Daphnia pulex: one gene and its partners. The protein of the gene in region 2 purifies or fractionates together with the protein of the main gene of each other region. This does not show direct contact. Links are inferred from orthologs where the notes say so. Each region holds a gene or a part of one and is shown on either strand. Other genes may lie near its edges. The genes, in order: pre-mRNA 3' end processing protein WDR33-like, RNA-binding protein with serine-rich domain 1-B-like, cleavage and polyadenylation specificity factor subunit 6-like, serine/threonine-protein kinase prp4-like, ATP-dependent RNA helicase DHX8-like, AMP deaminase 2-like and E3 ubiquitin-protein ligase RBBP6-like.

Evidence for each region.
Region 1: the proteins of RNA-binding protein with serine-rich domain 1-B-like (region 2) and pre-mRNA 3' end processing protein WDR33-like purify together in Homo sapiens (co-immunoprecipitation; 3 studies listed by BioGRID and IntAct, with this or other methods). This does not show direct contact. The link is inferred for Daphnia pulex from reciprocal best matches to the Homo sapiens genes RNPS1 and WDR33.
Region 3: the proteins of RNA-binding protein with serine-rich domain 1-B-like (region 2) and cleavage and polyadenylation specificity factor subunit 6-like purify together in Homo sapiens (co-immunoprecipitation; 3 studies listed by BioGRID and IntAct, with this or other methods). This does not show direct contact. The link is inferred for Daphnia pulex from reciprocal best matches to the Homo sapiens genes RNPS1 and CPSF6.
Region 4: the proteins of RNA-binding protein with serine-rich domain 1-B-like (region 2) and serine/threonine-protein kinase prp4-like purify together in Homo sapiens (co-immunoprecipitation; 4 studies listed by BioGRID and IntAct, with this or other methods). This does not show direct contact. The link is inferred for Daphnia pulex from reciprocal best matches to the Homo sapiens genes RNPS1 and PRP4K.
Region 5: the proteins of RNA-binding protein with serine-rich domain 1-B-like (region 2) and ATP-dependent RNA helicase DHX8-like purify together in Homo sapiens (co-immunoprecipitation; 3 studies listed by BioGRID and IntAct, with this or other methods). This does not show direct contact. The link is inferred for Daphnia pulex from reciprocal best matches to the Homo sapiens genes RNPS1 and DHX8.
Region 6: the proteins of RNA-binding protein with serine-rich domain 1-B-like (region 2) and AMP deaminase 2-like purify together in Homo sapiens (co-immunoprecipitation; 3 studies listed by BioGRID and IntAct, with this or other methods). This does not show direct contact. The link is inferred for Daphnia pulex from reciprocal best matches to the Homo sapiens genes RNPS1 and AMPD2.
Region 7: the proteins of RNA-binding protein with serine-rich domain 1-B-like (region 2) and E3 ubiquitin-protein ligase RBBP6-like purify together in Homo sapiens (co-immunoprecipitation; 3 studies listed by BioGRID and IntAct, with this or other methods). This does not show direct contact. The link is inferred for Daphnia pulex from reciprocal best matches to the Homo sapiens genes RNPS1 and RBBP6.

Annotation. Positions count from the first base shown.
Region 1 is NC_060018.1:835,642-838,005, forward strand, and holds the end of pre-mRNA 3' end processing protein WDR33-like, read right to left. Parts: coding exon 1,618-2,364; intron 1,559-1,617; coding exon 1,376-1,558; intron 1,310-1,375; coding exon 1,142-1,309; intron 1,079-1,141; coding exon 615-1,078; 3' UTR 501-614; downstream 1-500. Other genes in the region: 4-trimethylaminobutyraldehyde dehydrogenase A-like, read left to right, coding at 1-148, 208-427. UniProt on the Homo sapiens protein: Essential for both cleavage and polyadenylation of pre-mRNA 3' ends.
Region 2 is NC_060025.1:2,684,696-2,688,214, forward strand, and holds RNA-binding protein with serine-rich domain 1-B-like, read right to left. Parts: upstream 2,117-3,519; 5' UTR 2,035-2,116; coding exon 2,033-2,034; intron 1,932-2,032; coding exon 1,782-1,931; intron 1,726-1,781; coding exon 1,567-1,725; intron 1,500-1,566; coding exon 1,135-1,499; intron 1,075-1,134; coding exon 939-1,074; intron 875-938; coding exon 715-874; 3' UTR 501-714; downstream 1-500. Other genes in the region: transmembrane protein 11, mitochondrial-like, read left to right, coding at 2,385-2,407, 2,489-2,709, 2,776-2,888, 2,950-3,123; dehydrogenase/reductase SDR family protein 7-like, read right to left, coding at 3,212-3,519. UniProt on the Homo sapiens protein: Part of pre- and post-splicing multiprotein mRNP complexes. Auxiliary component of the splicing-dependent multiprotein exon junction complex (EJC) deposited at splice junction on mRNAs.
Region 3 is NC_060024.1:13,144,831-13,149,056, reverse strand, and holds the start of cleavage and polyadenylation specificity factor subunit 6-like, read right to left. Parts: upstream 2,801-4,226; 5' UTR 2,723-2,800; coding exon 2,663-2,722; intron 2,464-2,662; coding exon 2,227-2,463; exon of another isoform or gene 1,586-2,226; coding exon of another isoform or gene 1,418-1,585; intron 1,268-1,417; coding exon 1,040-1,267; intron 784-1,039; coding exon 138-783; intron 64-137; coding exon 1-63. UniProt on the Homo sapiens protein: Component of the cleavage factor Im (CFIm) complex that functions as an activator of the pre-mRNA 3'-end cleavage and polyadenylation processing required for the maturation of pre-mRNA into functional mRNAs.
Region 4 is NC_060020.1:7,009,495-7,011,633, reverse strand, and holds the end of serine/threonine-protein kinase prp4-like, read right to left. Parts: intron 1,964-2,139; coding exon 1,810-1,963; intron 1,745-1,809; coding exon 1,607-1,744; intron 1,487-1,606; coding exon 1,372-1,486; intron 1,300-1,371; coding exon 1,193-1,299; intron 1,105-1,192; coding exon 973-1,104; intron 884-972; coding exon 680-883; 3' UTR 501-679; downstream 1-500. UniProt on the Homo sapiens protein: Serine/threonine kinase involved in spliceosomal assembly as well as mitosis and signaling regulation. Connects chromatin mediated regulation of transcription and pre-mRNA splicing.
Region 5 is NC_060022.1:2,536,267-2,540,262, forward strand, and holds the start of ATP-dependent RNA helicase DHX8-like, read right to left. Parts: upstream 2,801-3,996; 5' UTR 2,669-2,800; coding exon 1-2,668. Other genes in the region: merlin-like, read right to left, coding at 3,278-3,328, 3,387-3,546, 3,609-3,925, 3,986-3,996.
Region 6 is NC_060020.1:5,365,623-5,368,402, forward strand, and holds the end of AMP deaminase 2-like, read right to left. Parts: coding exon 2,751-2,780; intron 2,672-2,750; coding exon 2,540-2,671; intron 2,470-2,539; coding exon 2,306-2,469; intron 1,953-2,305; coding exon 1,826-1,952; intron 1,712-1,825; coding exon 1,548-1,711; intron 1,480-1,547; coding exon 1,359-1,479; intron 1,285-1,358; coding exon 1,111-1,284; intron 966-1,110; coding exon 855-965; intron 792-854; coding exon 609-791; 3' UTR 501-608; downstream 1-500. UniProt on the Homo sapiens protein: AMP deaminase plays a critical role in energy metabolism. Catalyzes the deamination of AMP to IMP and plays an important role in the purine nucleotide cycle.
Region 7 is NC_060018.1:4,205,544-4,209,843, forward strand, and holds part of E3 ubiquitin-protein ligase RBBP6-like, read right to left. Parts: intron 4,270-4,300; coding exon 3,954-4,269; intron 3,890-3,953; coding exon 3,565-3,889; intron 3,488-3,564; coding exon 3,383-3,487; intron 3,313-3,382; coding exon 3,133-3,312; intron 2,888-3,132; coding exon 2,723-2,887; intron 2,648-2,722; coding exon 1,578-2,647; intron 1,497-1,577; coding exon 664-1,496; intron 585-663; coding exon 380-584; intron 290-379; coding exon 12-289; 3' UTR 1-11. UniProt on the Homo sapiens protein: E3 ubiquitin-protein ligase which promotes ubiquitination of YBX1, leading to its degradation by the proteasome.

The DNA of each region.
Region 1 (2,364 bases), on a different chromosome or scaffold from region 2:
TTCTAACCAATTGCCATGACGACATGACGGTTGTAAAAGAAGAAATTTTTGGACCAGTCGCTACCATTTTGCCGTTTGATACCGAGGAAGAAGTTATTCGTCGAGCCAATCAAACTCCTTACGGATTGAGTGCTGGCATTTTTACAAAGTATTGTTTACCTAAAATAAATCTCATTTCTGTGAAACTTAACGATTACACTTTTACAGAGACCTGAGAAGAGCACACCGAACTTCGGACCGTTTGCAATCTGGTACAATTTGGGTGAACAACTTCAACGTCACACCAGTCGAATTGCCTTTCGGTGGGTTCAAGCAGAGTGGCATCGGTGTCGAATGCAGTACTGAAGCCATCCAATGTTATACTCAGTTGAAGTCAGTCTACGTTGAAATGAATGATGTAGACTGCCCCTTGTACAATTCCAAATAGGCTAACGTCCAACGAGGATTGACCTTTTATTTTGGTGTTTGAATTTTGTTTGGTCCTAGAGTTAGTCAGTTGGTATGTCGTGAACATGGCGAGCATTATTCATTTTCAATTTTGTACACATTTTATAAAAAATGGCGAGAAAATAAGAGATACAAAATCATCCATCAGTCGCATTGAAATTCTTTCATCAATAGTTGTTATATCCTCCTCTTCGAGGTCGCCGACCACCTCCACCCCTCCCGAAACCTCCCCGTCCACCTCCGCCTTCTGGATTCCAACGGCCTGGTGGAGGCTGATGATGCGGTGGTGGTGGATGGAATTGTCCAGGATAGCTTGGAGCGAAATGACCTGGTGGTGGTCCCCTACCACCGTAATCCTCGTCGCCTCTTTCAAAAGGGCCGGGAGGTTCACCACCCCCTCGATAGTTGTTGGGACCAGGACCCCAACCGCCAAAGTTTCCTTCGCCATGCCGATCACTCATTTGTGGAGGTGGGGGAGGCGGATAACCGCCTTCCATCCGCATGTCGTCTTCAATGGGCTGCATTGGGGGTCCTCCATTTCCCATATAATGCAGTTCTTCTTCATTATCGATAGATGGTGGTGGACCACCCCACGCTTGATTTCCACCTGGTGGTCCGTGATGACCTCTCCCTGTTTTTCCATCCGCATAATTAGTTTGCATTAGATTACTTAAACTTAAAACCATGAGCGTACCTCTGCCTGGAGGTGGAAGTGGAGGTCCACTTTGATTAAATCGGTCCTGATGGTGCGGTGGCTGGAAGTAGGGTCTATTCATTGGACCCTGACTATGAGGTGGTCGCGGAGGAAAGCGATCTGGTTGCTGTTGTGGTTCGAAAGGTGGGCGATCCCAATTTCCCATTTCTAAAAATAAATAACCGACAGATAAGTTCAAGTTGCGTCATTTTTCTTCGACTATTTCAATCAAACCTTGAGGTGGAGGTTGGCCTTGCCAGCCTCCGTGATTATGGTGGTGATTGTGTTGCTGCTGCTGTTGTTGTTGCGGTTGCTGTTGTTGCGGTAAATGATGGTGGTGGTGTTGCTGCCCAGCTCCTGGTGGTAACGGATGACGGATGGGCTGAACAGGGTGGCCCCTCTGTTGAAACTCTACAACTATTCAATAATTTAGTACAGTGCCAACAGCAGAACAATCATTTATGCAAATTAATTACCTCTCTGAGGGAAGTCTCCTAGAAGACCACCAGTTGGTGTTGGACCAATTCCTGAATGACCCCTGTTGTAGCCCGGAGAGTCGTCAAGAACAGGTGTTCGAGAGCGCGGATAGAAATCGTCGTCGTCCAATTCTCGATCTTGATTGTACTCGCCAGTTGGAACTACTTCGGGTTTAGTCTCCTCCTCCTCAACAGTAACTTTCAAGCCCATCGAAGATAGAACCTGATTAAACTCTTCTTCGCCAGTACGAATGGCTTTCTCTAACTCTGAATCGGCTTCGATGGACAGTATCGTGCCATCGATTATGACAGCTGTCGGAGTGGGAAGTTGAGTAACAGGCAACGACTGAGCCGTGTCGAGCAATTCTTGCAACTGCTCTGGATCATTAGCCGGTAGGCCGAACAGGGTCAGAGATGCGCGACCCAACTGTTCCATTCCAAAGGCAACGGGATCAACACCAAGGACGTGATCCTCTTCATCAGACAGTACACCCGATGCTGACGATAGGCTGGGAGTGGGTAAGATGGCTGGTTTCTTACTAGCACTGCTCTCATTCCATTGTGCCTGGAAGTGACGTGGAATTGGTTTGGCATACGGAACTTTCTTGATGGGTTTCACGTCTTGTGCTAATGGTTCCACATCCAGACCAGGAATCATGCCTGCGCTTAATAAACTGAGGCTACTCTGACCGAGTTGTCCGTCTCCGCCTTCTGCTTCCACTTTGTCTTCGGGTCCCATTCCTGGGA
Region 2 (3,519 bases):
CTGTGCAAACAAATTTGTTCCAACTGTTGGGCGCGCCGTTGCCGGATGTAGGAAGACAACACAATTTACCAAATCGACTTTTTCATAGGAGGAAAAAAGCAGTTAGAAACAGCTACATTCCGGTTGTGAGAAATTTCTACCCTCCCCCTGATAAAAATTTGCTGTTCCTTTCTTTGTGTTTATAACACCGAGGCGAAACCGTATCTCCCGCCTTTCACATGTCACTTGTAAACCGGAATGAAAGTGTTCTGACTTGTCATGTCCCGCTACACACACTTCTATTGAGTTTCCAACAAACAGATCCAACTAGTTTTTTTTTAAGGCTTATCCGGTTTCTCCTCCAGCAGCCATTGACTTTAAAAAGAAAGCATTACTACTCGGATTACTGGAAAACGTCAGATGGCAACATAAACTTGCGGTTGGGTAACTTTTTAAATTGATAGATAAAATAATAATAAGACTTTTCATTTCAAATGAAAAAGAAATGTAGTAGAAACAACTGAAGGACAAATGCCATTGTCAGGTGATATTGTATCGTCTTGCAGGATTCCATCGAAAAAGGGAAAATTTACGGAATACGTGTGGCATTTACGCTATTGACTCATCAGCAACAGCTCGGGCGAAAGCAAAATCTGAATCACGAGCACAAAGTTGAGTTGATAAAAAAAAAAGAGTGGACGTTCTTCAACGTTAAATAAATCATGATTGTCTTATTTAACGCGAAGAAGATGATGAACTGCGACTGTAACGGCGATTGTTGCCACCTGAACGGCGATTGGGTGAACGAGACCTGGAACGGGCAGGTGGAGGTGGTCTCCTATCTCTGTCCCTTCGTGGAGGAGATCGTCGACGTAGGGGAGAACGTCTTCGGAATCTGTAGAAATGAACACAACAGATGCAAATAACCGGAATAAAGATTTACTTTAGTAGTATATTACCTTGGTGGAGATCGACCACCACCCATGCCCCAACGGCCCGGTCGATTTCTGGGTGGTGAATTCCGTCGAGGTGGTGGTGGACGGTTTTTAGGGATCAGCACAGGGGCGGCTGTGATTTCTTGTCCATCAATTTGGCCTAGAGATTATTTGAGATTAAAAACGTATTTATAGCAGTAACCAACAAACGTTACTTTACCTCCGTCCATATGCTTCATTGCATTTTCTGCTTCGTCGGCAGTACTGAACTCGATGTAAGCAAAGCCCCGGTGGAGGTGACTTAACCCAGCACGTTCGTTGGGAAACTCGACAGCTTTGATGGTTCCGTAAACGGAGAAAATTTCGTTAATGTGTTCCTTGTTGACATTGCGCGTCAGTCGGCCGATGTGGATTCGAAGTGGCTTGGGTGTAGGTGAACGATCGCGACGACGCCTCCGGGGAGATGTAGAGCGGGATCGTTTGTTTTCTTTGTTTCTGTCTTTGTCAACATTCTTTTCTCCATCCAGTTTTGTTTTCTCTTCATCAGGTTTGCTATCAACTTTTGGCTTATCACTCGCTGGGGCTCTGTACGTCAACAAAAATGCTGTTATCACAAGAAACTTGTTTACCGTCATCCAACTAGAATAATTACCTCTTTTTCTGGTGCTTCTTTAATGAACCGCTGGAACGTGAGGAACCTGATGAATCAGAAGAGCTAGATGAACTAGATGATGATCTAGAGTCTGAAGAAGAACTGCTGGATGATCGTGAACTAGAGCTGCTGCTACTGCTGCTGCTGGACGATCTAGAACTGAAATGTCACATTAAGCTGAAGGTTTCATTAAACACAACAAAGTTTAACACTACCTTCTGCTTGAAGAACTATCACTGCTTGAAGCTCTGCCTTTTTTCTTCCCAGAATCTTTGGTATCCTTTTTGTCTTTGCTAGCATCTTTTGATTTACTGGAATCTTCGCCGGCTTTCCGGTCTTTTCGATCGCCAGTTTCTTTGTCCGGCCTAAGTGATTTACACAAATTTAAAATATTGTTAATTTAGATTCATCGTAAAAATTTACTAAATTATTAAATGATGCTGAGGATTTAACTCGATTTACTCACATTTTCAGAAAGTTTTATTGAAAAACATACGAGTTGATAAAGGGGAGGAGCGTTAAAAACAGACGCTTAATGCCACTTGCACAACGTTGCCTGTATTAAATAGATTCTCGTTTTTATTTTTATGAATGTAAAGTTATAGTTTTTTAATTGGAACAAGTTATGTGAATTTTTTAAAGATTAAATCAAAGATTATTTAATTTTTTATTATTAAAATGTTAAACTAGTTGTACGACAGCCGACGGCAACGAAAAAATGTTTCGGCAATGATTGTTTTTGGGCTGTTGCCGAAACTCTACAAGGCCGTCAGTACGTATAGCAACCACTTGAAAACACTGGCCAAGTGGCAAAAGAAATGGCAGACAGGAGAAAGAGCAGGTAATCCCTTGCATGACTGTTTAAAAATATTATAAGCTTCCGGTCGTCACAATAATATTATGATGCTGTTTCAAATTTTAGCGGGCCACATTCGGCGGAAATAGCGGTCGTAAGAGAAATCTATGACGGTGAAAACGCCCAGGAAAGATTTGAGCTAGAACTAGAACGAGCTCTGGAAGCTGCTGTTCCAGTAATTGTCATTGAGCCAGTTCGACTAGGCGATGAAACGGCGCGATGGATCGCCGTTGGAAATTGTCTTCACAAGACAGCAGTACTTGCTGGACTTGGTTCGGTCATAACAGGTAAATTGTTGCTAGTATTCAGTTGTTGCATTATATAAGTCTAATTTTGTTAAATTTCCTGTTTAGGATTTTTCTGTGATAATCGTCCATACATATACACTCCATTAGGTCTCCTTTCCTTGCTGTGTACAGGACTGTACACAGCATCTTGGCAATTTGATCCTTGCTGTAAATACCAGGTAGAATACATACACTTGACTAAGTTGGCAAAGGTCATAGCAGATATCGGTTTTGCTTCAGGTTGAAATGGATACAAAAAGACTGGCCAAATTACCAGTTAATAGGTTGACCACTTCCAGTCCCATAGTTCTCGTAAGAAGAGATGATAACAAACGGAAGACTCTTCATTGCACCATCTGTGTTACAGCAGCTAGCATTACCCTTTGGAAGCTGTACTTTATTGCCTTCAAGTAGTCTTGTTATAAAGAAAACTTCCCAAATGTACAAACTGAACAATACATCCTTATTATATCAGAATGTATTAGAGATTCTCTACTAGAAATTAACGACTTTTTTTGCTCTTGGCCGCTCGACGCGCCATAAGTTTGAAATAAACGTTGGGTAGAATTGCACGAAGAAATACTGCTAAACGATAAAAGAGTGAGCAGAGCATCAGCTCTTGGGTTTTTTCCTTAATTGCAATGACAATTTCATATGCAGCTTGGAGTGGATCCGCTCCCGACTCCGTAGTTTCATCCGTCTGTCCATATTTGTCTCCTCGGCCCGTCAGCGCGTTCAGAGACAAACTTGTGCGGATGTATCCGGGGTTAATGACTGTCACATCAATCTTGTGACGATGGATTTCCGCTC
Region 3 (4,226 bases), on a different chromosome or scaffold from region 2:
CTTTTGACTGTTTGATGAGCGAAATGGCCGTTACTAGCGTCTCGATTGCACTGGCGTAATCACCTGATTGGATGAAGAAGACAGATAAGTTACTACTGATTTTGGTTCAATGAGCAAAATGAAGCTTGAAGACATACCAGTTGAGGCATCCGCAACAGCTCGAGCAATGGCGGAAGAAGAAACTGTTCGGTTGCGGCCCATCACTTCCTCGAATTCGGCTTCACTGACGTTTGGCGGCTCATTGGTGTGCGGTGGCCGATTATCAGTGATGAATGGTGGTGGTGGGCCGATCGGTGGAGGGAATCCAGGCGGAGGTGCCGCAACGGGCGGAGGGAAGAATGCCGGATTGACGTGAGGAGCTGGCTGCTGGACTATGTTGGCCCATTCTGGCCGGCCGTTGCCAGGAGGCGGAATACGATGAGGATTCATATCCATTCCGGGCGGAGGCCCACGCATCCCCATGCCGGGTGGTGGACCTCGCGGTACGACCGTAGGTGACATGACCGGATGTGGAAGAAGGTGATGCGTCGGTGGCGGAACGGGAATGCCTCCGGGTGTCGGTGGACCACGAACTGAAGGTGGCGGAGGTAATGAGAGACTCGTTAAAGGTGGGGGTCCGGATGAAGAAGCTGACGGACCCATCATCATCCTAGGAGGAGGCCCATTCATTGGAGGAGGTCCGAGTAATCCGACTGTTAGCGACGGAACTCCGGATGGAGCAGAACCGGTACTCCGCGGAGGACTTGATTGTCTAGATGGGCGGCTCTTTGACTGCGCCTCAAACTGAATAAGAAAAATATTTTGACATTAAAAGAAATGCATAAAACATAAATGTTTAAAGATGTTCCAGTCAAGTCGTCCGTTAAGTGTTAAATTGTACGACACTTGTAGGTTTACAGACTTGATTGGTTTTAATGTTGCATTACACTTTCCCACCTTTGAACTGTATTCAATTTAGACAGTCAATGGTTCTACTGGTATGCACTTGGAAAAAATTCGTCTAGCAGCACTAAACGATTAAGAAATGTTTTGATCTTACCTGATTGAGCGCCTGTTTGGATGTGAAGGTGACGATGGGCGTCTGTCCGTGCAGATCCTTTTTGGGAAGTTTGTCCATGCATTGACGAGCGCTGATCTCGGAACCGACGGTGATGACGCAGAAGCCTTTCGACTGGCCGTTGGCTCGGTTTTCATGAAATCGCACCTCCACCAGGTCTTGGACGCCAATCGCGCTGATTGCATTCTCCACGTCGGCATCTGTGGTCCACTGTATTGTCCAACAACCACAAAATTGATGTTGTGTCGTTGTCGTTTGTTGTTGTTTTGGATTGGGTTTGTTTGTTTAAAAAACAAAAGAAAGAAAGATAATATAGAAAAACAAAGCATGAAAATCGTTTTCTGCCGATTACATCCATACCATAATTGTATTGGTCAAATAAAAGATATTTTGATCGGGCACCTTTACACAGCCGCGCAATTTGTAGTGAGTGTATGCCAGAGTGCAGTTTCTTTTTCTTGTCATCATCAAAGATGTTCCTGCACATGGGCGCCAGCGGTTGTTATAATACGTGGCTGAGATTGTCATATCAAGCGATATCCCACCCCAAACTAACAATTCATTCGACTCAAATATCGTTTGGCAGAGATGACGATTTCAGAGATCAAAGGAGAAAAAAAAACATGGGGCGATGGATGTGGCACATCAGTTACGCAAAACTGATTGACAAGAATTTTTTTTCTGGGGAGTTCTATGGAGGACCGCATCCTGAGAAACGTAATACAACACAACTCAAAAACCTTCAGTCAAAGGTTTTGATAGGGGCTAATGATAAGTTTTGATGGACTACTTATGATAGATCAATAGATGATAAAAAAAATTATTTAAAAAGTGCAGATACACAGCGTACAACATGCATGGTCGTTCATGTCCCTGAATTGGTATGCCTTCTCACATACACATACATACATCAACATTCATGATGCCCTTCTTTCAATTTTGAATGCCATCATACAGTTTTATCACACATCATAGCCCCTCCATCATAACAACATGGTGGCTAGGTTGATATCACAGACTTAACAATTTGATTAATGTCGATAAAATAAAAATAAACAATTGGGAACTATCTGGGAATGATTCGATATACAGCACAATTACTTTTTAGATAAATAAAACGACACTTTGAACAATTGGTTTTATAAATGGAAAGGTTTGAATAATCGTACCCACGTCAGATTGCCCACGTACAACTGGATCCTTTTGGATTGTGATGAGCTGTTGCTGCCATGAAGCTGAAGTGGAGTTCCGATCAATGAAGATGAACCATGTAGAGAGCTGGATGTGATATGAGAAGATAGCGTTGAGATCTTCTCCTTTCCATTTAGTTCCTGCTTGATGCTCGTTGAAGATGTCAAGACGTCATCATACAAGTCAACGCCATCGCCAATTTGTTCGTCACCATCCTGTAATCAGTTAAGAAAATAAGTTAAATGATGCTGTCTCATCTAATAACGGTAAACAGCAAAGACGCCACGCCAAACACTGCGGTGGGATAACAACAGAAAATGAACATAAATGTACATAAATAAGTTATTGATAAACGAACTACAGAATATTAACATCGCATTCTTCCGGTAACTATAAATAAGTACGTAAACTTACACCATGAAAATCATCACCAAGATCGTCGGCATACAAGTCAATATCAGGCACGTCAGCCATTTTATGAAGTTTAGTCTATGGCCAACGACCACAGTCTTGAACTTCTTCTCTGTTTCCACCAGTGCTGCCACTTCTGAAATAGCAAAGTCGTGCAGGGTTGCCTAAAAAGTCCCGAAAATCCGTTTTTTTTTTTTTTAAAAATCCTGCACTTTATCTTGCACGATTTTCTTCAAAATCCCGCAAAAATCTTGCAAAAAAAAAAAACCCGCATAAATCCGACACGATCCAACATAATTTCCTAGTTATCCTAGTATATTTGAAGTCTTTTCTTGTCAGACAGGTAAAACATTATTTTGATACTGTTGACCGACAGTTAAAAGCTACACGGAAGCTCGGTAGGATGCTTATTTTAGCCCTATTTCAGCACTTTAAGATTACTTAACACGTTACGCTTTTTGGTAAGAATTATAAACAAACTGAAAAGCAAAATTTCATGCTTCTTCGAAGTGTAACATGCTTACAAAAAAATAAGTATGTTTATAAAAATGAAATTAAGTATGTTTACAGAACAAGTACTTTTAGCAACACACTTATCATAGATTTAACGTACTTAAAGTTTTAAAAAGTATGTTGATGCTTCTTAAGTATGTTAAATAAAAAAGAACAAGTCCTTTAAGCAACACAATTATCATAAACTTAACGTATTTACTTTATTTATAAACGTACTACCCAATGTTTTCTCTGCTGCAACGAAAAAATGACAGAGTCCATTTCATTAACCATTAATCAAGCCCCTTTGTGGCACCTTCGAGATTTTATAAGTCTCCTTTCGTTTTTTTTCTTGATTAGGAAATTTAAAAATTAAGTTTTCGTATTGTTTTCTCTGTTTGTCATTCTATACCTCACTGTTGCACCTCTTGTGTCGAATAAAATCAGAGGAAAGGAAATAAATTTGGCAGGGCCAGTGTTTCGTGGTTGTTATTTTGTCCGTGGCCTTGGTTAGTTCTTCATTTAGATTGATGTTTTCTTAGTACTGTTGATATCACATTATTCTTAGTATAACCTTGTGTTTTTCTTTTTTTCTTGATGTTTTACAGTCAGATATTCAGTGTTGATTCAGATTCTTAGTTGGAAAGTTGTTGTTTCAAATTGGCTGCTGTTGAATATTTGTCTGTTAGTTGGTGCATCAGTTTTGTGAGAAGAATTTTTTTAAAGTGAGTTTTTTGTCAGATATGAATAGTGATTAGTGATATGAATTATTGTGATGAGTTTAGCTAATGTTGTGTGAATTATTATGTGTTACAATTTAATGAAGTGAAAGCAATGAAGATTGTTTTTTTTATCGAAGTGAAATGTTGAAATGTGATAAACATTAAATGAAAGCTGTGGTGAGTCAATCTATTTTTTTTCATTTATATGGAATGTTTTATGTAATGAATTGCAGAGATAGGAATGATATAAATGTTTGAATGATTGATGCTTGTTGTATTTTTTTTGCGGAAGATGGTGTTGGCAATTAATAATTTTTATTGACAAAATTTTTTTTGTAATCTTGCTCGAATGG
Region 4 (2,139 bases), on a different chromosome or scaffold from region 2:
CATCAGTTCACAGAATTTCAGACCTGTACACTTAAGAAGAAAATATCATACAAATGGCAAAATATCACTTTTCAATACTAAACAAATGGCCAATAAGTTTCTTCCTAATGTAATTTAACAGCTTTGAGGTAAGCTCCTGAGCTTCAAGTGTCACCCACTCCCCAACACAACCCAGTCCAAAGATACAAAGCATTCTTTACGATCGTTTCGAAAACTTACCACAAGCCACAATAATTGTAAATAGTCAGATTGGTGAAATAAGAGCCAATTAAACAGAGTTTTTCTAATTTAAAACCGCGTCCATTCCACATTTATAACATATCCTCGACTTTTCAGTGCCGAACTGACGACAGACACTAGTTTCGTCTTTTGCCCACATGGCGTTGGCGTCGCCTGAACGGCATTTACGATGCTTGTCATTGCCTATGCTCCGGCTGGCTTTTTATGCGATGCGACGACCTTTAAAGCTGAATAAAAAAATCAAAAAAAAATCTAACAAATTTTGTTATAATTAAACTACATGGTGTATTGTCAAACCATTCGATTCATTCAAAATCCAGGAGTAGGCTAGATAAGGGAATAGTGGAGCGAAAGAAAGTATTGAACTAAATCGAAGTTCATCAAATATCCACCGAATGGCGAATAATCTCCAAGCCATGAGATGTCGAATTCAAGAATTCTAAATCTTTTCCGTCACAAATGGGTGGGTTAACGCTTGGTGGATCGTTAATCGTTTAGTTGGATCGAGCATTAGAAATTTGTCTAGCATATCCCGTAATTGCAGGACTTTTCGGTATTGGTCGTCAGGTAAATGTTGACCCCCGATTAATTCATTTTGCAAATCACGTATTGGATTTACTGTAGACATAATAACTACTTTCTCCTACAAAATGCAATTAAAGAGAAATGAATGAAAAGGGTATAAAGCAATAATGAGAAATTTTTTTTTCATTTTAATAAAATTAAAAATACCCTTTCTGTCAGCTTATCCACCTCGCGGGATAGAAAATTAAAACTGGAATCGAAGTGCTGATCTTTAAAGGCTCCTTTTCTGATCAATTTGTTAGGAAATTTCCCTTTTAAATCCATGAACAGCTTCAGCATCTAACAAATTAAATGTAGACAAACACATACATCTTGATGAAACACTGAACAAACGAATCAAACATCAGAAAGTTCATTAAATTTTTACCTGGTTGTTTGAATTACCAGGAAACAAGATTTTACCAGTGTACAACTCATATATGGTGCAAGCCAAAGACCAGACATCAACGCCATAATCATATGGCATTCCTAAAACTACAGGTAGAAATAGTGAGTATTGTAGAGTTCCTTTGAAAATTGTAACCGGAGATTTAATCTACTACTTACTAATCTCAGGAGATCGATAAAAACGGCTGACTAAATAAGGCGTGATTTCATTTTCGGCAACGTGAGATGCTGATCCGAAATCACCTAACTTCAACATTACTTTATTTTCATGAACCTGTGAAACAACGAAATCTTTACAACTTATTTTAAATTCCTAAATGTATTCCATGGCGATTAACCAAAGGAATGTAAAAATTGGAGTTTTAATGTTTTTGAGGATTTAAGTGAGGCTTACTAAAATATTATCTGGTTTGATATCAGCATGCAGAATATTGACTTTTTTAAGAAGCCGAAGCGCTAGGAAAAGTTGCTGACTGTAAGATCGGACGGCTTTGATATTGAGCCCGACATCTTTGCCGTATTTTTTCAAAACCTTCGGAGAAAAGAAAGCATTATGAAATATAAATCAATATAGATATAAATTTATAGTGATGTCACCTCTCTCAGATTCATAGCTAACGGCTCAAAGACCAAGCATAAATGCTGTTTATGGAAAAAGTGTCGAAAAAGTCGAACGCAATGATGTTTGTCTTCCGAATCGGCATCGTTGAGCTTTCGCAAAATCTCCAGTTCTTTGAGCCCAGTTTTATGCCTGAAAAGAACAAAAGAGGATTGCTTTAAATTTGTGTCCACTTAAAAAAATTGGCATCATCTCTCGCCATCATAAGGGAAAAGATATCCGGCGAAAGCCCGTTGATGACAAGGCACATAGTTCACAGCATTACGTAAACAGTTCGATCCAAACAGATTAATACCCAACTGATTGGG
Region 5 (3,996 bases), on a different chromosome or scaffold from region 2:
GCTTGGCTTGCGCCTGTGAAATGGGTGTCACCACCAAAGAGTCCATTCCGGTCTTGGAATTGTAGACTTTCTGCTTGACAAAACCAGGATCGACGACATAGTAGATACCGTCGATGGTAAGACTGGTCTCGGCGATGTTGGTGGCGATAACAACTTTTCGGGAGCCTGGTGGAGCCGGTTCGAAAATTCGAGTTTGCATTTCAGACGGTAGAGCGGAATAGACGGGAAGAATGATGAGCTCAGGAACGTCAGGGCCCATGGACTTCATGCGCTCGTATAGAATTTCGCAGGCAGTATCGATCTCTTCCTGACCAGTCAAGAAAAGAAGAATGTCGCCCGGTGGTTCGTTAAGGTGGATCTGCATGACGGTAATGAGCGAGGCATCCAAGTAATCCGTCTCAGGTTCCCGAGTATACAATATCTCGACGGGAAAAGTTCGACCCGGAATGGTGAAGATGGGCGCCTCGAAAAAGTACTGCGAGAATTTCACGGCATCCAAAGTGGCCGACGTTACGATGAGTTTGAGTTCGGCTCGCTTCTGGACGGCTTGCTTGAGAAGACCGAAAAGAACGTCTGTGTGAATAGTTCTTTCGTGGGCTTCGTCCAACATGATGCAGGAATACGATTGCAGATCGGGATCAATCAAGCATTCACGCAGCAACATACCATCCGTCATGTACTTGATCAAAGTTTCAGGACTGGTGCAATCTTCAAAACGAATCGTGTATCCAACTTCCTGTCCTAGACGACAACCAAACTCTTCCGAAACTCGCTTGGCAACGGACATGGCGGCCACACGACGAGGCTGCGTACAGCCGATCTTTCCACGAGCCGTGAATCCGGACTCGGATAGATATTGAGTGATTTGCGTAGTTTTTCCCGAGCCCGTCTCACCGATGACAATTAGGATTTGGTTGTCATTGACAGCTTTGATCAGTTCATCTCTGAGTTTGTAGATGGGAAGTGATTGACGTTGCTCGACGATGGACAAACTAGTTTTCTTGCCGAAAGAGGCTCCTTTCGGTCCACCAGTGATGTGCTTTTTCCATTCGGGCATGTCGTATACAGGGGCTCCCGTTCCGCGACCCAACGACGTTGACGGTGCAGCCCCAGCATCCGGCATGGGATCAATCCAGGTCTTGTTGGCGCCTTGAGCCGGTGCGTCAGCTGCTTCTTGTTCTTCTCTGAGCAACATTTTCTGTTCGCGGCGTTCTTTGCTGAGAGCGCCTTGCATCATGGCGGCTTGAGCTAGAGAACCGTCGGGATTCTTGACGATACGAACCGGACTAAGTTCATTAAGCACTCGACCGTGACCTCGAAGAAAGGGTGCCTCTTCTTCCACCAACTCGATTTCGATATCTTCTTCGTCTTCGGCCAGCTTTGGCAGTAAACCCGTTTCTTCGTCGAATTCGGGCAAGTCCATTTTGTCGATACAATTTGCTGCCATCATTTGCTTCAGTTCCCAGCGTTCAGGAGACGAAATCCGTTGCACACGCTTGCGGTTGGTTAGTTCATCCTCCTCTACATTTGCCTTCAAATCTAGCAATGAGAGAGGTCGATCTGGATTCCTTAAAGCTGTTTCACTTTCCTGGCTGGTTAGTCCAGGGCGGCTTGACGTCGAAGGAGCTGGGTTCAAATCTTCGCCAGTGTCTTGGTCCACATCTTTCATAGAAAGAGAGATCTTTTGGCCAGCAATGCTCATAACTTTGACATGAACCTTATCTCCACGATTGACAACTTCAGCCACACTATTCACACGGCCTTCTCGTCGCAACTGGGAGATGTGCACTAGACCCTCACATTTTTTCCGTATTCCTTCAATTTGTACAAAACAACCAAAAGCTGCAAGATTCATGATTTTTCCCGCGTAGACATTTCCCACTTCTGGATTCTCTGGAAAATCTTTTTGAGGTTTCTTTCGACTTGGGGATTCTCGTCTGCCTTCGTTACTTCTTTTATCATGATGACGATCACTTGTTCTGTTTCGATCTCCTCTATCTGTACTCCTGGACCTGTGACTTCTGTCCCTGCTTCTTGATCTCCTCTTTTGATCTCTGCTTCTTGACCTTCTACTTCGGTCTCTGCTTCTGGATCTCTTGCTGCGGTCTCTGCTTCTTGATCTTCTGCTGCGGTCCTTGCTTCTTGAACGTCTGCTTCTTTCCTTCTTGTCTTTACTCCTTGCTCTTTCCTGAACAGGCTCGATTGCTTCAGTAGAAATCTTTTCTTCTTTAGGAGCCATGGCTTCTAGTTCAGCCATTAAATCGTTAGCTTCTTCAACATCTTTAATAGTCAATTTTATGTCTTCGAGAAGCATTGTTCTTGCCTTAGGGTTATCTGCTAAGGCAAGACCAGGGAAGAGTTCCCGTTTCTTCTCTGTTTCTGCATTGTAAACTGTTTTCTTTACCTGGGCTAAGTTCACATCAGTTGTTTTCGAGTTGGCTGATTTCATGTGTTTGATAAGACGAAGCAAATTTGCAATGAGAGAGTCTGAAAACTCGGCGCCATTCTCCAGCATTACACTTTTGAACTCATCAAAGGTCTTGTGTTTTTCGGCCAATGCGATGATGAACTCTGCCAGATCTTTATCGTTGAGTCCCAAATGGTTTTCCAATTCTGTGCACACCTTAGAAACAAGCGACAGGTGTTCGAGTTTCTCTAATTCATCCATGATGATATAGGATATTTTGCCACTTATTAAATCATTTACAAATTGACAGCACAACAATTGGGATGGCGACGAATGTGGAAATTGACGAGCCGACGAAAAAACGAATGCTTTCGTTGTTAAGACAACGTTGCAAGAATGCTGTAAAAGAAAAATCAAAATTAATAGATGAACTGGCAACATTGCGCGCAAAAAATATTTACATTTTTTCGAAATGAATTTGTTAACTTTTGCGTTTCACAGATTGAAATGAAGAATTATCTAATCTTTCTCGGTTCTCTGCATTTTGTGTTTGAATTTGAATGAAACTTTTCCATGTTCATATTGAATTGGTATTCTAGACATACAGGTTCATTTTGCAAAATTCATATAAGAATGTAAACAACGCCGATGCTGCTACTAGTAAAAGACATTACTCATTAGTCAACAAGAGTTAAGTTTTTTTTAAATGAAAGTCTATTTGTCTAATGTCTATGATGATAAGATTTCACGAAAATGGGCAACTTAGTGAATTAAAGATTATAAACTAAGTTGCATCCATGAAAATGGTCAGCCAATTTAAAATTTATGTACAACACATTGTCAAAAGTAAAATTAAAAATATGACTTAAGCTACAGCTCTTCGAAAAAGGCCACGCGCGCTCCAGTCGATCCAGATTTTGACTAGGAAAAAAAGAAAAATTAACTCAAATTTGAATTAATGACTCTCATTCATGCGTACCTTTTTGAGAGTTGAGTATTTGTCGTCCCCTGAACGGAGTTGCTCTTCGTGTAGCTGATCGTAAAGCGTTTGTTTTTCACCTACTTTCAAGACTTCAATCTCTGTACGCAATTCTCTCAGTTGCTCCTGCAGTTGCTTCGATTTTTCCAAGTATTCGACTCTAAATTTATTTTAAAAAATGAGCAAACAATTACGCAACAATTCCTACGATAGATTTACAACCTCTCTTTCTCAATTTCAAGTGAGAGTTGCTCCATATCGCCATGTGTCATAAGGTCATAGTTGGATGAAGAGTTGACCAGTTCGGAAGCAGCAATAGCTGATAGATATCCACTACTACTTAAGCCAGTTAAGTTGGTGAGGCCAGTAAGCTGATTAGCCAGCGGAATAGGAAGGCGGGCCTCATAAGCCGGCAAACTTGCTTCGTTAGAGACATCGTCGAGTCGTCGTAAATGTTGCTGAATGTCCGACTGATGATGTAAATGGTGGTCTGATCCAGCTACCGACGAACTTGATGTCGGAAACAAGTTGGGAACAGACTGAAAAATGGTAATTGTAGTTATTCGCTCATTAAAATGTTGACAGAAACTGCAAAGTACCAGGACAGACG
Region 6 (2,780 bases), on a different chromosome or scaffold from region 2:
GTTTGAATCTGAGCGATATCGGGCGCTTTATTGCCATTTGCCATTACAGTGTAAAGTAAAACGTTTAACAGATAAGAATAACAGATATAGAAAATATTTTCTACTTCTATATCTCTTATTGAAGCTAGAGCTAGAGTCCATTGCAAATTCAAAGTAAGTTGTGCCTTGTGTGTTTTTAACATTAAAATTCGTGATGTTAGTCCTAATATTTTAGAAACTACCAACTATATACAGTATATATATATTTCAAATTTTGCAGATTAAAAAAAAGCGCTGTTTTTTAATAGTGTATTAGACGAATTTGATGAATAACGATTTATTATGTTTTTAAATAATGGCATTAAAATTTAGTTCTTTTATCTTCTAAAAGCCAGTAATACCAAATCAAGGAATGATTGTTAAAAAACTAATAAAATTCGTTTCAAATAGAGATAAGTCCCCTCCCCTACTTCTCAGAAAAAGAAAAATGCACTCATTACTAATTTAAAAACTTTTTTTTATGTTTTTTTTTTTTTAATATAAGCATGACAAATTCGGTTACTTTGTATCTGCACTTACAGAATCGTTGCTTATTACAGTTTTAACTGTATATAGGCTCTACTTTTCGCTCATTTTTCGTTAACAAATCCTTTATGATCGTTGAGTAAAACAGTTTTGAAAATGCTATTTAGTTCCGCTACCAGTGTTTCATAGCGGTATGCAACGCGTATGTCAGGGACGTTCGTCCTGAAAATGTCATTACCGGCCACACCTTCGCGTGTATAGTTGGGGCCTAGCCAATGTTGTTTCACCTGTTATTTAACACAGCTATTTTACCTTCAAAATAAAAAAAAATATTTTGAAAGGTAATTTACTTTATGAGGGTAGCCACTCATTCGAACGGAATTATGAGCCAATTCACACATGTCGCACGGGCTAAGTTTCCACACTTGAGCTGCAATGCTGTATTCTTCCATTAAAGGTTCCTAAAGATTTTTCAAAATATAGAAACACATAAAGAAACTCTATGTAAAATTTTAACAGATAGCTACAGGGAAATAAGAATAAGTAACTGAATTCTTAATTTATGAGAAGTATTTATGTTAGAAATTCATAACTGTTCATCCATACTTTGGTGAAATGAAATTGAAGCGGATCATCTGTCGAAAGAGAAATGCACATTCCTCGGGCCAGAAACTCGGGAAGTGGATTGCGATGATAATTCAAAAAAAGAGAATTATTGCTCAATGGAGACATTGCTATTCCGATCTGGCACAAGTAGTATAAATACTGCAACACTGGGACCTGTCACCACACCAAGCAGATTCACATATTAATCGATGATGCAGTACAAACGAGTAGAGTTAACAAGAATTCACCTTTCTCAATAGCAAACCATGAGAAATATTTTCAGCGAGAAGGAAACCACAAATCAAATGTTGAACTGGCCCTGCTTCGCCGCAATGAGGTCTGAAGACGAAAGTGTTCATTCCTCGTGACCTGATAAATTGTTTTATCGTGGTGCATTACAATGACATGTTTAATTTTGGATGAAACTCATTGCTTACTTTCGAAATTGGTTTAAAACACACATATTGGCGTAAACGTAGTAGACGTAATAAGCGTAAGGAGGATTTTCTTCTTCCGTCCACTCTTCCGGTGTTGGAACTTCTCTATCGAACACCGGATGTTCAGGTTTACTTTCATCGTCAACAGAATCAAAACCCACCAACTGTTCAATTAACAACAATTAGGTTAATTAAAATAATTTAAAAAAAATGCGATAGCAAAAGATCCTATGCAGTGGGAGCCATCTCTGGTGGGAGCAAAGAAAATAACAGTTTACCTGTTTAAGAAAACAATGTAACTCGGGATGCGCTTCTGGATTGTTGGTTGCTTCGAATAAAGGAAGAAATAGATTGTCGATCAGTTGTTGAAAGTTGCTAATCAGCTTGTTTGATCTATAAATATCACTGCAAAGTAGAAATGTATAGGTAAAATACTTTTTGTAAACTCCCTTTCATTTACAGTAAAGCTTAAAACATTTCAAATTTTGTATAAAGGTTCGTGACTTAATAATACTACTAAGAATAAAAAAATAAATAAATGAATTACGTGGTGAACTAGAGTATATAGTATTATTGCGCCAGAGAGGTGGTCTTCGCAGGTCTCTAGAACTAACATAATCTATCAAATTTAACAGTATGCATCGAATAGTGATGAAATGAGATACCAAAACAATATTCCGCCTTCGTGAGAAACCGTGAGATAACTGTTCTTCAAATGTATTTAATATAATAATGCTATTAAAGTAGAATTTACTTACTATAAACGCGGCATTTGAACCAGCCAGCGGATATTGTCCGAATAAACTTGAAAGTTGTGAGCCCACTTGGCCAATTTCTCCCACTCATCCCTGGATTTTCCATAGACAGATAGTCGCAACTCGGCATTTTGATATTTACTCTCCTCCAAGTCTGCGGCTACCTCCTGGATTTCAAACAACAAAGTCGGTAGGATCAGCGGCAACTTATTTTATTGTTTTAGTTCTTAATTGTACTTTAATAATTTCTGCAAAATATTTCCCTCCCACGTAGTTATCGGTTTTAAGAAATACTTCGCGTAAACGACTTTCTCCTATAGGATTATATTTCGCATTGAACTTATCGAATCGATGGAAGGTATTGCGATCCTAAAACAAAAGAAAGATGCTTGAAAAACAGAAAAAAAGAACTGTACACGTTTAACTGTATGTGTGGATATGCACGTACCGCGTGAACGTCAAGCATGTCGACTGTCAA
Region 7 (4,300 bases), on a different chromosome or scaffold from region 2:
GCGTTGTATATTCACTGCGAAGAAGTCTTTTTCTGCTTCCGCTTCGACGAAGTCTTTTTGGACTTTTTCTTCTTCTTCTTGGGCTCGCGACTCGAGTCGGAAGAATCACTGCTGGAAGAAACGTGACGCTTCTTACGATTCTTCTTCTTGCGCTTACCACCTCCGCCACCGCCCGATTCAGATGAGCTGCTTTCCGAGTCTGAAGTGCTGCTGGAACTACTGCTGCTAGTACTGCTCGACCAGGAACGCTTCCGCTTCTTGATCTTTTCAGATTTCTCCTTGTCTTTGTCTACGAGTCAGAATGTAAATTTATTCAAAATAGAAACGACGTGAGGAGGACAGCCGAAACAGGGGAAAAAAAAAGAAAAGACGATTGTACCGATTTGCTTGTCATCGTTTTTGCTCGATTTCGTTTTGTCGCCGTGGCGAACGTCAGTGTTGGAAGGCTTCATTTCATCCTTCTTTTCTTTGTCTTCTTTGCTCTTCTTTTCTTCCTTTTCTTTACGTTTGTGTTTCTTATCCTTGTCCTTCTCCTTAGCTCGACTTCGTTTGTCTTTGTCACGTTTATCTTCTTTGCGATCCTTCTGAATAAAACAAACATCGGACACGTTCCCATTATTTCTCAAAGCTGTGAATCAAATCTGTTTGCACTAAATTAATTACCTTGTCTTTGGCGGGACTAGAACGTTTTTCCTTGTCCTTTTTACCACCGTCCTTCTTTTCTTTCGATTTATCAACTTTGGTGTCCTTGGTGTCGTCCGACTTGTCGTGATTCCTAGCAGGTGGTTGTTCCGGCTCAATTTTGTCACCCAACCTGTCGCGCACCGATTTCTTCTTCTCGTCAACGTCAAGGAGTTTCAAATCGACAAGGGCGGGATTGAATTTCGGTACCACTGCCGGGGCGGCGGCGGAGGCGGCGACTCTTAGATTCAATAAGGAATCCGGAGACACTCTTGCGTTTCCGCTGTCGTCCATTTCAATTTCTCCGATCTTTTCTGGGGCTGAATCCAGCAAGACTCGACGTTCGGGTCGCAATTTAATTTCGATCACTTTAGGCTTGATAGCACTAATAGCCCGACGAAAGATGGCATTATCTGGCCGTTTGACTTGACCAGAGTCTCCACCAATAGCGCCAACGTCAGTCACGTTCTTCACGGAGTCAATTCCTTCATCTTCTTCCGAATCTTCCTCCCAGCGCGAGTGCGGAAGTGGCAGAACTTTGGTTTCTTTCACTTTATCGTCCTTCTCTCTTTCCCTGCTTCTATCCTTTTTCACTGTTTTAGAACTGTCGGAATCTTCTTCTGTAGGTGGGATGTCGTCCACGAGTGATTCGAGGCTTTTGTCAGTGGTTATGATAAGAACATCTTCTAAGGCGGCTTCTTCCTCTGGAACTGTCGGAATTCGAAAGTCATCGCTCTCTCGATGATTTGCATGCTCCAATTTCGCTCTGTCGACTCCTGTTGTGGCAGAATCATCCATCACTCCGCTACGATCGCCTGTCAAATACAAAATAGGAAACTGTCAATAAAACTACCAAACTGATGACACCAATTTTTTTGAAGGCAAAACAAATTTACCAGGAATTGATGGCTGGTCCAATTGGTTTTGCGTTCGTACAGCTTCAGCTTCGCGGTCTTCGCTGTCGGCGCTCTTCTTTTTGTCGTGTTTGCTTTTTTTCTTGTCCTTCTTTTCTTTCTCCTTGTCTTTCTCCTTTTCTTTTTCCTTCTTCTTCTTGCGTTTCTTGTCCTTCTTCTTGTCCTCTTCATCCTTTTCTTTCTTTTCCTTTTTCTTCTCCTTTTCACGATCTCTTTCTTTTTCCTTCTCCTTGGATTTCTCCTTGGTAGTCGTACTGGACTTGCTGCTGACCGAACTGGGAGATCCCGCTCGATCACGATCCCGTTCTCGCGAAATGGCTTCCGTTCGTCGACTGGTATCTTTAGTATCCCGGACTTCGTGTCGAGATCTGCCTTTTTCCCGCTCACGATCTCTCTCTCTGTCTCGTTCGCGTTCTCGCTCCCTCTCGCGATCACGGTCACGATCGCGTTCTCTTTCCTTGTCTCGATCTCCTCGCTCCCGATCCCTTTCGCGTTCCCGCTCTCGGCCATCCTTCATATGGCCGTGATCTCTTTCACGTTCGCGCTCTTTGATTCTTTCTCTGGGCTTTTCTGGGCCTTTTTCGGGCTGATCTGGACGACGTGGTTTAGTGTAAATAAGAGGAGCGTCTGATTCAAATTCTCCAGGTGGAGGTGGCGGAGGTGAACGGCGAGTTCGGTCTGCTTCGGGGTTGTAGTATTCACGCTCGTAGTCAGTCCGTCGTTCTTCTCGATATCCACGACCTCTTCCCAGGTCGAGTGAGAGCAGAGAAGGAGGAGCACCTACGATTCCCATTGGTCCTCTTGGTCCCATGTATCCAGGAGGGTAGGGTCCACGTGGTCCCATTCCTCTAGGCATGCCGATTCCAAAGTGTGGTCCTCGTGGTACATAACCACCCATGGGGCCACCTCTGCCGATCGGGCCCATTGGACCTGGAGGACCGCCGTATCCTCTCATTGGTAGGCCTTGTGGACCCATAGGTGGATAACCGTATGGTGGGTAATAATTTGCCGATGCAGCATTAGGGAACTCTTCACGATACTCTCGAGGGTATCTTTAATGGAAAGAAAGACAAATTTGAAACACTTTATTGAATTATAGGAAGAAAAATCATTTTTTGTTTTTTTACCTTCCAGGGGATCCATGTGACGGTGACCGGTCGTAAAACCCATGACGTCCGCTCCGAGGACTAGGAGATCTCCCACCCGATTGAGACCGCGATCGCGATCTACCTCTGCGAGCACGTACTGCTGGACTTCTTCTCCGTCGGCTGGGAGAATGAGATCGAGAACGTCTAAACCATTCACAACCAACACGAGATTAGTCAACGTCTTCTTCAACATACGTGTACCGTGACAAACAAGAAAGGCAAAAAGGAAACAGGAGTCAAGTGTCGAAATGTAAAATATAAAAAAAAATTTAAATAAATTGGCACACGATAAGGAAATCAAAGAAAATGTCTCCTTCAGGGATGAAAAAATGTAAGTGTAACCAAAACATAACGCAAGGATTTTCAAAATAGAAAAGAACGATAATTGCCTTCGGGGAGGAGATCCACTGCGCGATCGACTCCGCTGCCTAGGTGATTTAGATCGACGTGTTCTAGACCGAGAGCGACTCCTTGACCGCGAAATTGATCTTCGCTTTTTTCGTGCTCTGTCACGTTCTTCTTTCTCCTTTAAGAGTTTCTCAAAGGCAGCCAAGGGGTCTTCGATCACACTGAAATTCGTTATTCAATGGCACATTCTAAGTGCGATTCAAACAAAAGGATTTGAATTATTATAAATACCCTTGCTGTAAAATCGGGTGGCTGGCCAGTTGACTGGCTGCACTAGAAGCATGATTGCCGTAGCCTGGAGGCATTCCCATGCCATTAGGAGGAAACGGCGGAGCACTATAACGCAAACAAGAAAAATTTGCTTTAAGAATTGCTTGTTAAATTCAAAAGTCACTCTGCTATGTTCATTTTACCCTGGGTAGCCCATTGGAGGTAGTCCTCTTGGTCCTCCTGGGGGCATCATTGGTCTAGCCCCGGGAGGTGGGATCGATGGACCCTGAAATCTAGGCGGCGGCATGGATCGAGGGAATCCCGGAGGTGGTATGTGAGTGGGAGGTTGGGCAGTCATGAGTGGCTGAATCGGAACAGAATTCTGCGGCGGTATTGTCTGCGAAACCGGAGCAGTCTGTATTGGAGTGGGTGTAGGCAACAAAGGAGCTGACTGTGAAGAATGAGGAATACGCTGCATCGCCATCAGCCCTTGTTGAATTAGGGCAATCTGTTGTATATTCTGTGAGCCTGTAACGATATTTACAACGTCTTAGAGAAACAATCTCTTCTGGAACTAGATTATAGATCATACCAAGCAAGAGTGGATTTCCTTGTAATAAAGCTTGTTGAAGTGCAATCAATGGAGCTTTCTGAGCTAAAATAGACAAATTGTTGACTGTCGGTGGGGTACTTTTCGAAGGTGCGGTAGGTGACTGTTTAACCACATCAGCCTGGGTACCCTCAGCACTAGCAGTCGGAGTTGCAGGAGGCTTTTCATCGACCGTAGGCGTAGGGACTCTAACTTCTTCGAGGCTTTCTCCGCCCGGTGGAGGTGGTTCACTCGGTTCTTCATTAAACTCTTCTTCGGCCACCGGAGAAGTTGCAATTTCTTCCTTGAATTCTTCATCCTTTTGAAATAAAGAATGATAACATCATGCC